Bombyx mori: one gene and its partner. The protein of the gene in region 2 binds, or shares a complex with, the protein of the main gene of each other region. Links are inferred from orthologs where the notes say so. Each region holds a gene or a part of one and is shown on either strand. Other genes may lie near its edges.

Region 1 (3,743 bases), on a different chromosome or scaffold from region 2:
CAATAAAATGAAAGTGGAAATTTACTGAAAGTGTATTTCATTTTCTCAGACTTCTGCACTCACACCGTGCTTAACCGTTAAAATAGCATCACTAAACAACAAATTAAAAAAATACGAATATTATCTACATTATTATTACAGTTCTTTGTTCTTCGTATTGTCACCAAAAAGATAATTTCAGTACAATCAGTTTTTTTTTTTGCTTTTAACTTTTATAACATTATACCTAGTCAGGTCATAAATTCTGTCACATGTTTAATGTAAAATAATTGAAACAAGTTTATTCATTATGTAACCATTCATATACCAAAATGAACTTAACAAAACATAGATTCTTATGACACTAAAGTTTATTCAAAATGACCTCCGTGATTTTGAATACAGGCCTTCAACTGCGCGGCCAGTCGTCTATCGCAGCACGAACGAGGTCCATGTCAATATCGGCGGCTGCCTTAATCAAGGATGTCTTGAGTGACTCCAAATTGGGATGAGGCTTTGAGCACGCCTTTTCCTCCAAGTGTTGCCATATCTTGTAATCTAACGGATTCAAATCTGGACTGGAGGAGGGCCAGTCTTCGTGCCGGATGAAGTCGATTTCACGCGCCGCCAGCCAGTCTTGTGTGCTCTTCGCTCTATGAGCTGGCGCCGAATCTTTTTGGAATACCCAGTGCCTGTTATTGAACATGGTATGAGAAACAGGTTCCACAAGGTTCGTCAGGATTGTATTTTGATACACAACTGCATTCGTTTTTACACCTTTCTCACAAAAATGTACCTCTGTTAAGCCCCAATAAGAAACTCCCAACCATACCATGAGCGAGGATGGAAAATGACCTCGTTGGACACGTGAAATACGGTTGCTCGCTTCTTCACTACGGTGTGCGTACACCTTATCATTTTGTTTGTTGTAGCTCTCTTCTACGGTAAAAATTTTTTCATCCGAAAAAAGAATTTCCCGATATTTTTTTCCCGCGTACCGCTTCAACAAAGCGCGGCATCTCTTCAGTCTCAGGTCCATTAGACGAGCATTCAAACGATGTCCTGTTTTTCTTCGATATGCCCGAAGCCCTAAGTCTTCATTTAACACCCTTTTCACCGTGGTTCTGCTTAACCCCATCTGAAGGGCCAACAGTTTCTGCTTACGTTTGGGATTTCTTTGAATTCGCGCCTTCACAGCTTTTATCACTGCTGGAGTCCTAACAGACCGAGGGCGACCACTTCTTGACCTGTCATCTACACTAGAGTCTTCATTGTATCGTTTGATGGTACGATAAACGAATCTTTTGGTTATATTCAAATTTTTCAGTATGTTAAAAATTTGAATTGGCGCGTAACCGCAACGATGCAACGCAATAACTGCAACACGGTCTTCTTTAAGCGTCCACTCCATATTTAAAAATGAGTAAAATTCTAAAAGTATACATTTTTATTTTCATGAACAGTTCGAAATTCGAATTCAATAAACTTTTTTGTGGCCAGCATTCTAAAAGAAAAGTTTTTACTGTGTGACAATACTTATGACCTGACTAGTTATATATATATTATACCTTCACCCTTAATAAAGAAAATTTTTCTATGTGCCTATCCCATTGCCTGTTCGATAACTGAAAAAAGGTATTGTCAACATTCAACAAATTCGAATGTCATTTTGAAATACTGGGGTAGACATAGCTACTATGGTTCACAATTTTTCTCGAAAATTTGAATTACATAATTTGCCAAAAAACTAATTAACACTTGATATTCACATTTGCTTCACGATGTTAAAGTAAGTTTAAATATTGGTTTATTGTTCCGACCGCAATAGAACTGTCAAAATATTGTACAAAACATATTCTAATTTGAACTGTGTATGTAGGTTTGGCGTGAAATCTGCGTTACTTGGATCCGCAGTGTACTACACAATAGACAAAGGTGTGTGGAAAGATAGTGCTACGACAGCGGCGATATATGATGAACTTGAAAAAGGAATGTCACCATATGTCGGGGAACTAAAGAGCCAAGTTCCATACGAAGTATGTTCTTAACTCAATTAACTACCTACTTTTAATTTCTTTTGCGGTTATGTTAATTCCAATGTTTATTTAATTACAGCTACCAGCATTACCTTCTAATGACAGGATATCATATTTGTTCAAGTACTACTGGAATTGCGGTGTCAAAGCTACATTTAGATTTTTAGTCGAATTGCCTACCCATACTAGTAATGCAGCTTTCAAGACATACGACTTTATTTCATCATCTTTGGAAACTCCAGAACCACATCAAGAAAAAGATAAATGAAGACTTAGTCAATAATTGTAATTTATTAAATACTTTAAATGTATAATTGACATTTCATCAGATGAATTTAGAGCTGGTGGTAATAAGAAATAAAATGCAACTTTACAAAACAGGCCACAGCTGTGGCAATTTGATTTATTAATTTTCTTGCAGTGTCAATATTTTATAATTTTCTATAACATTCATGCATGTTGAACACAATTTTGTGAAAAATAATAATACACACTGTTTATTTTAACATACAAAATCACATTCCAGTTTAAAAAATGAAACATTCAAATTATTAACTTCGCAAAGGGAAGTATTTGTGCACAACTATATCAGTTCAGGAATGATTAATTTGATTATAATCAAATTTTACCATAAAACGTATTTGCATGTACACAAAAATAACTGCATATTTATTTACCTACAAAATGGCTACATAAAGTAATTAGTACACACTTATGTGAAAGAAATTGGACACTAAAGTTGAAAAGCTATTATGCTATAAAATGTATTCTATAAATGAAGGCATTCTGGTGTCTAAGCCAAGATCAGAGAAGATCTTGGGTTTGTTTGTAGGTACAAAGCTAGATATTTATTCACATAACTATAAGTCAAGATGTGGTTGTCTCAGTAAAAAATTGCACAATTTTTGTTATTTTTGTCCATTTATATTGTGGAAAAATGTTAATATCATTTATTCCTGGGCACTTATGTATTTTTGCTAGGCAGCAGTCTCCACTTCCATGGGCTCTTCAGCTCCTGTTTTCTTTTTCTTCTTCTTGTTAGATTTTGCTGATGAATTTAGAAGGGCCTGTTTGTTAGAACAGAAAAACAATTTATTAGACTATCATCACCTTCATAGCGATTTAAAAAAAAAAAATGATTTCACAGAATGTTGTAATAGTTCAAACTGAAATGTAAAACAAAAACAAGTCAGCTCAAAAAGATTACAAATACTTTACCCTGAGCTTGTTCAAAACACACAATGTGATATGTTATGAAAGATAGCAGGGATAATATGTTTTCTACTTTTATCATGTTGGGTCTTAATCTTGTCTAGAATCAAGTTACAGCTGTTTTTCTGAATTAAAAATAAAATAATGGTAGGTGCTTTATAGAAATTGATGTTAGATGATTAAAAAATGATACATAGCTTTAATATAGACCTTTGTTTTCTATAACAGAATTTAAAAAAAAAACTAAGCCCTTACATGTACCATTCTGTAGATAGCACCCTGATCTGGTCTTAGTTACTGTTCACATTACAATATTTCAATAAACAGATAATAATAGTAAACAATACTGACATTAAGTTCTGGATCCTTGATGCTGCGTTCACTCTTACATTGGCTTTTATCAAAAGGCAAGCCAGTAATACGATGTGTGCCACTAGGAAGCAGAAGAGCCGTGAACTTAAACTGTGCCACCAATTCTCCTGGACGCTCATAGAGAACCTGAATAACAATTTTAAT
Region 2 (5,897 bases):
ATATTTTATTCAGATTTAAATGTAATAAATAATGACTGTGTTTTAATGACATTTTTATTTAAATTACCTTTGTGTTTCCAAACTGTCGTGGCGTGCAACCTCTTTGACAGGACATAAGACCTACAACAACTAAACACAAACTAATGACAGTCATTTGATAAGAATTCAAAAATAAAGAGAGAATCGGAACGAGGGTGTATGTGACTAACAGCTGGCAGTACTTTTTTTACTTCCTAAAAGACAAACACAAACCAGATGACAAGGAACAAATTGCCCGTTCTCATATGTACATAAAATAGACAACAACTAACCGAACGTTCACACACTTTTGGATGATATATGTATATAGCTATAGCTCTAATAAGCACAATTTGACCACAATAATGACTAAACAGACAGACTAAATTTATACATCTAAAGCATTCATCATCATCAAACTTTAGATATCCACTGCTTGATATAGGCCTGTTGCATGGTTCAACACAATGACATGTTCTGTGCCTATTTCGACCATCTGATTTCAATAACCTTCAACAGGAGAAATGTAAAAGTACTAAATAAGTTCCAAGCTAAATTTAATTATGATCTACTGATAACTAAATAGCATTATTTCTGTATAGGTTGTTTTCTTGTGAAGTGAAATTCTTCACGGGTGTGATATGGAGCATAAGGGTCTTCTACATAATGCTTAGGTCTCTTCCAGTATTTCGTCACCATTTTATCAAGTAAAGTGTTTTGTGTAGAGTTACAGAACACATGTTGCCTTAGCCTCCTTTTATTTGCAGATGATTTCTTCCATAATTTCTTGTGCCTTCCAATTTTAGTCCGAATCCAGCCACCCCAGTGCAGTCTAAAAAATCGCTTGATAACAGCCTTTACTGTTTTCCTTTTGCCTTTTTTTAAACTAAACTTTATAACCGATCTTGTTGGGGTAAAATCAATTTTCATTAAAATGTCCAATATTTGTTTGTTGGCTAGAAGTGAATTTTGAGGTAACAAGGATCTAGGTTGTATCTCTATATTCTTAAAGGCTGAGAAATGTCTGACATCTTTAGTAGTAAGCGTAATTGCATTGTGTAAGGGCGAAGCCGGAAGACATCGAGCATAGCGAACAGCTGAAAAATAAAAAAAATATTCATATGAAAAAGGAACACAATCTACTTAGACAGTAGAATACGGAGGAAATTAAGTAAATTCAAAGTTAATAATTTTATGGTAGTGAAATAGAGTTATTTATATACTATTCCTTACCAGTACTTAAAAAACGCAGCATTTTTACAAAAATGTTATAGTTCAAACATATTTTATGCAAAATTAAACTAACCACAACCTTTTGGGTTTAGAAAATAGAAATTAATGTGATAAAGTGGTTAGGTTCTTACATTCTTCCATACCGATAAATTAAGCAAATAAAACATAGCCAATACAGCCAAGTCTTTGAAAAAAAAATGTTTTTGCTAGAGATGTACACGAAAAATAAATGAACAACGAAAAAATATAAATTAATTAATATGAAATTGATTATGGACTAAACTAAAATAAAACAGGTATAAAAAAGAATCAACCGCTGAATAACTTAATTTTATCTTCTTGAAATTGTAGGAATTTATTGAAAGTTCGATAGGCTTTTTGAAAGAGCCAGAGAAATCACGTCTAACAGTTTTATTTCCTTTTCCTTCACGCATATTAACAGGTGCTAAACGGTTAATAAGCCTAGAACATTACACGCTAAACTTGAAGAAACAGTAAATGAATAAATATAGTATTGTACCGCAATCCTGTTTATTTCTGTAGCAAACCAGTGACATGTTCCGGCTGAAAGGGTAGGATAGTCGATATACAATACTGTTAAGACCACGATCTCATGTTACAAGGTGTGTGACGACAATGACTTTGCGACGTCTATGGACTCTTGTAACAACTTAATAGCAAGTGGAATAAAAAAAGTTAACATCTTACCGTTATCCTTAAGAAATATTTTTATTTTTGGTTTACATTACAGTGCCTAAATAGAGTTATTTGCAGTATCAAATACTCGAAATACTCCTGAAGAAATAGCAAAACTCATTAAATACAAACCAAATTTTCCCAATGGTAAAATGGCCCCCTATTTTTTTTTTTTTTTACTTTATGGTCAATGGATAGGTACAGTGGAAATAAAATTGATAATTTTAGTCATAGACAATATCTACCGTATTTATTTTAGTCCATAGATATTTATTTTAGTCTCTAAAAATTTGACGGCCCAAGTGGAGAGATTCCGAAAATGTACAAATTTACGAATCATTTATCGAATGCTAAATTAGTTTTGGTGAGTACATAAAATTTTGGACAATTTTTAAATGTTTTATTTTAATACTTTTTTCTATACTTAGTACATTATGAACATTTGTGTTTCCAAACAACGATTTTTCTCAGTGTTTTGATGTTTTACGATCTCTCCGGCAAGATATAAACATTATTATCTCCCTGTTATAGTAAAACCGATTGTATGGCCAGCCCTCATTGGAATAACAAACCAGACCTTGAAGTTGTTGTGCCTTACATAATACTTTTGATGTCATATTTCCTAAATGTAACCTATATGACTAAGGCTGTATGCACAACACACACGCACTGATATCATAGCAGATTAAGCGAGTCCAACAAAAAGTTATACAAATTGTTTACATAGAAACAAATTTCACAAAATGCAATAGAAATTGTTTTAAATTAGATTACAATTGAAAAAAAAAATAGGTTAATTATTTTGAAGTTAAATATAAATTATTAACATCAAAGTTGAAATACAACGCTAAAGTAATGAAAGCTAATTTGCGGATGTCCCATACAATAGAAAGTGAGTATTTGATTGAGAAGATGTTTTGAAAAATCGTTCTTTGTTTGTAGTGCATTGTGTGGTAAATTATATCAGATGATTCATTGATCCTGAGCCTTTCCAAAAAATGTATCGAATATGGTCATGCGCAAAGTGTGAACAGACAGTATCCTATGTCAAAAAGGGAATAAACGGCTGAAACTAAAGGGGAAAATAATAGTCCTTTTATTAACTGAATATATATTCATAGCATAACTAAGTTTATTATTGTGAGAAACATAACGGTTGTGTGCCTTTGACCTAGATTAGTACCACCCTATCTTTTGTCATCTTATTTTATCATTGTTCTCTGAGCTCAGAATTACACCAGCATACTGCAATTGCCAACTGGCATTTATAGGGTATATATATATATATATATATATATATATATATATATATATATGTATACCTATAACCTATAATATATTATAGTAGGGTATATTATAAAACTGTATGAGTAGGTGCAATCATCCTGCCTATTTTTGTTGCGAAGTGGTCATGCACTCTGGTTTGGAATACAGTTGATTTGGCTTTGGTTCAGGACAGGATTCACATTGTGTTGTCTACAGGATTAAGTGAGCACTTAACAATAGGTGGGCCATGGGCTTGTTGACCCGTCAACAATATAAATCTTAACATGGTATGTCTTGGTTTTGAAACACAAATACTAGGGAAAGTTGTTTATGACATTAAACATGTCCTTTTTATTAAAGTAATATTCATGGACCAAAATAAATATAAAAGGTAAGTAATATGTATAACAACTAACATTAGATATATGATTTAGGTAAGAAGACACATTGATGGGTCCTCAGCAGCACTGATAGTACTTCGTCAAAACTCATACTCCCAGGATCATGGTACACGACAGCAACCCCGCAAGTCACGCAAGCTCTTCTGGAGCACTGTCGGAGCGACTGTACTTACTGGAGCTGCTGTTGTTTATGCCAAGTTAGTTTTTACTAGGTTTGATGGAACTAAGGTCTCAAACCATTTAACATAATAAGGAAAAATTATAGAAGATATTTCTTCTTTTTCATACACTTTATTTCATTTTTCAGCTGCTGTAGTGTGTGATTCCTCGTATCTCAAATCTGGCTCTAATCTCAAAGCAAAATATCCGTATAGTCCGTAATATCAGTAAGGTTACAACGGCTGCCCCACCCTTCAAACCGAAACGCATTACTGCTTCACGGCAGAAACAGGCAGGGTGGTGGTACCTACTCGTGCGGACTCACAAGAGGTTCTACCACCAGTAATTACGCAAACTAATTTTGCGGATTTGATTTTTATTACATGATATTATTCCTTCACCATGGATCAATCGTGAATATTTGTTAAGTACGTATTTCATTAGAAAAATTGGTACCCGCCTGGGGGATTCGAACACAGGTGCATCGCTAGATACGAATGCACCGGACGTCTTATCCTTTAGGCTACGACACTTGTATATATTTAAATTGTTAAAATTGATTGCAGACACAGTCCAGAGGCCCGAAACTGGTTAGAGTCAAATGTCCCTTGGGCCAATGACCTGGTAGCTCTCGTTTACCAGGAGAAGTCTTCACCGTGGAAGTTTACAGTGGACCGTTTCAACCAGGCCACCACGTCAATCAGCCACTTTGTGTTTGGAAAGGTTACCTTAACACTACCTATATATGTAAATATAAAAGTCTGTCGGCAAGTGGCGGCTGAGTACTTTCAAGGAATCTGTGAAATTCAATAGGGATGCTCACAGCAGGGCGTAACCGGGTTTCACTACTTGTTACAGTTATGTCAAAATGAGGATGGTTTTACAAAATAATTTCAAATTAATTTAAGTATTAACCAATTAAAAAGATATTGATTATGATTGGGAGTAAGACGGATCAAGTCTGCAGCTCTAGCCTAGCTAATAAAAATTTACGTCACATCGACATAAATTATTATTAAACATCATAAATAATTACAGGAAGGTGTTACGCCATTAGAGATAAAGTCGAGGTCACAGCAGGACATAGATGCAGATGCAGCAAAGAAGGCAACCAGCAAAGACTTCCAATGTATGTACTGTACTCATATATTTTTTTATTAATTACAATTAGTATGACAATTATTATTAATAAAATAATGATCATATGTGCATATAATTACTAAATCTATCCTAATAATCTTTAATACCTCATACAGAAAATAGAAAAGTACCTTGCTTGACATTCAGGAGAAACATTGTTTGTATTTTATTTCATTGTATTTCATTTCATTTGTTTTGTTTGTTTTTCAACACATTGCTATCCAGTCCAGTCAAGTGGCTCAGCCAGCACGACTCCTTAAGTTGTTTGATAAGACTTATTGATTCCAAACCTGTAAATAAAAGTACTTTAATTCAGCCAGCCACTGAACTATCTGTGAAGCAAATCATTTTTAATAAACGTTATGAACTTGTATTCCGTGTGACTAACAGTGCCTCCGCCCTCCCTTGAGCCCCTCTACGTGGAGGAGAAGAAGCTTGGAACACCGGATGTAGACACACCAGGTAGGTCGATAGGCTACCTGATTGTCTCAATATTAATATTGCATCCTACATAAACTATTTAAACATAATTAACAAAAAACAATAAAAAAACAAATAAATCCCATCTAATCTCTTAATATTTGAAAACGTACATATGTAAGTAAAAGTTGAACGTGTTGCGCAGCTACGGTGGTGCAGACGGAGCGCTGCGAGCCCGCGCGCGCCCCGGCCGCCGCCGTGCCCGCCGAGCTGGTGCAGCTGGAGCGCGACATGATGGACAACACCAAGCTGGCCCTCGACAGCTACAAGCGCGCCTCCCAGCACTGCAAGCGCTACAACGACGCGCTCTACAAGGTGGGCGCCCCCGCCGCGCCGCCCCCCAACCCCCCGCACAGCCCCTGTACTCTGGCGTCGTTCGCAGATAGTGGAGTCCACCGTGGAGGAGCTGGACAAGAGGCACTTCTCGGCGCTGCAGGGCGCGCAGAGCGAGCGGGACGCGGCGCACGAGCAGGCCGCGGAGGCCGCCGCTCGCGCCAAGAGCGC

The links. The genes of interacting proteins can lie anywhere in the genome.
Region 1: MICOS complex subunit Mic60 (region 2) and MICOS complex subunit MIC13 homolog QIL1 share a complex: the UniProt entries of both Drosophila melanogaster proteins name them as parts of the mitochondrial contact site and cristae organizing system (MICOS) complex. The link is inferred for Bombyx mori from reciprocal best matches to the Drosophila melanogaster genes Mitofilin and QIL1.

Annotation. Positions count from the first base shown.
Region 1 is NC_085115.1:12,273,480-12,277,222, reverse strand, and holds MICOS complex subunit MIC13 homolog QIL1, read left to right. Parts: upstream 1-1,616; 5' UTR 1,617-1,760; coding exon 1,761-1,768; intron 1,769-1,858; coding exon 1,859-2,015; intron 2,016-2,094; coding exon 2,095-2,283; 3' UTR 2,284-2,393; downstream 2,394-3,743. Other genes in the region: proliferation-associated protein 2G4, read right to left, coding at 2,993-3,082, 3,579-3,725. UniProt on the Drosophila melanogaster protein: Component of the MICOS complex, a large protein complex of the mitochondrial inner membrane that plays crucial roles in the maintenance of crista junctions, inner membrane architecture, and formation of contact sites to the outer membrane.
Region 2 is NC_085132.1:11,511,941-11,517,837, reverse strand, and holds the start of MICOS complex subunit Mic60, read left to right. Parts: upstream 1-2,153; 5' UTR 2,154-2,266; coding exon 2,267-2,311; intron 2,312-3,647; coding exon 3,648-3,811; intron 3,812-4,339; coding exon 4,340-4,496; intron 4,497-4,811; coding exon 4,812-4,902; intron 4,903-5,303; coding exon 5,304-5,375; intron 5,376-5,538; coding exon 5,539-5,708; intron 5,709-5,775; coding exon 5,776-5,897. Other genes in the region: large ribosomal subunit protein bL35m, read right to left, coding at 607-1,115, 1,252-1,273. UniProt on the Drosophila melanogaster protein: Component of the MICOS complex, a large protein complex of the mitochondrial inner membrane that plays crucial roles in the maintenance of crista junctions, inner membrane architecture, and formation of contact sites to the outer membrane.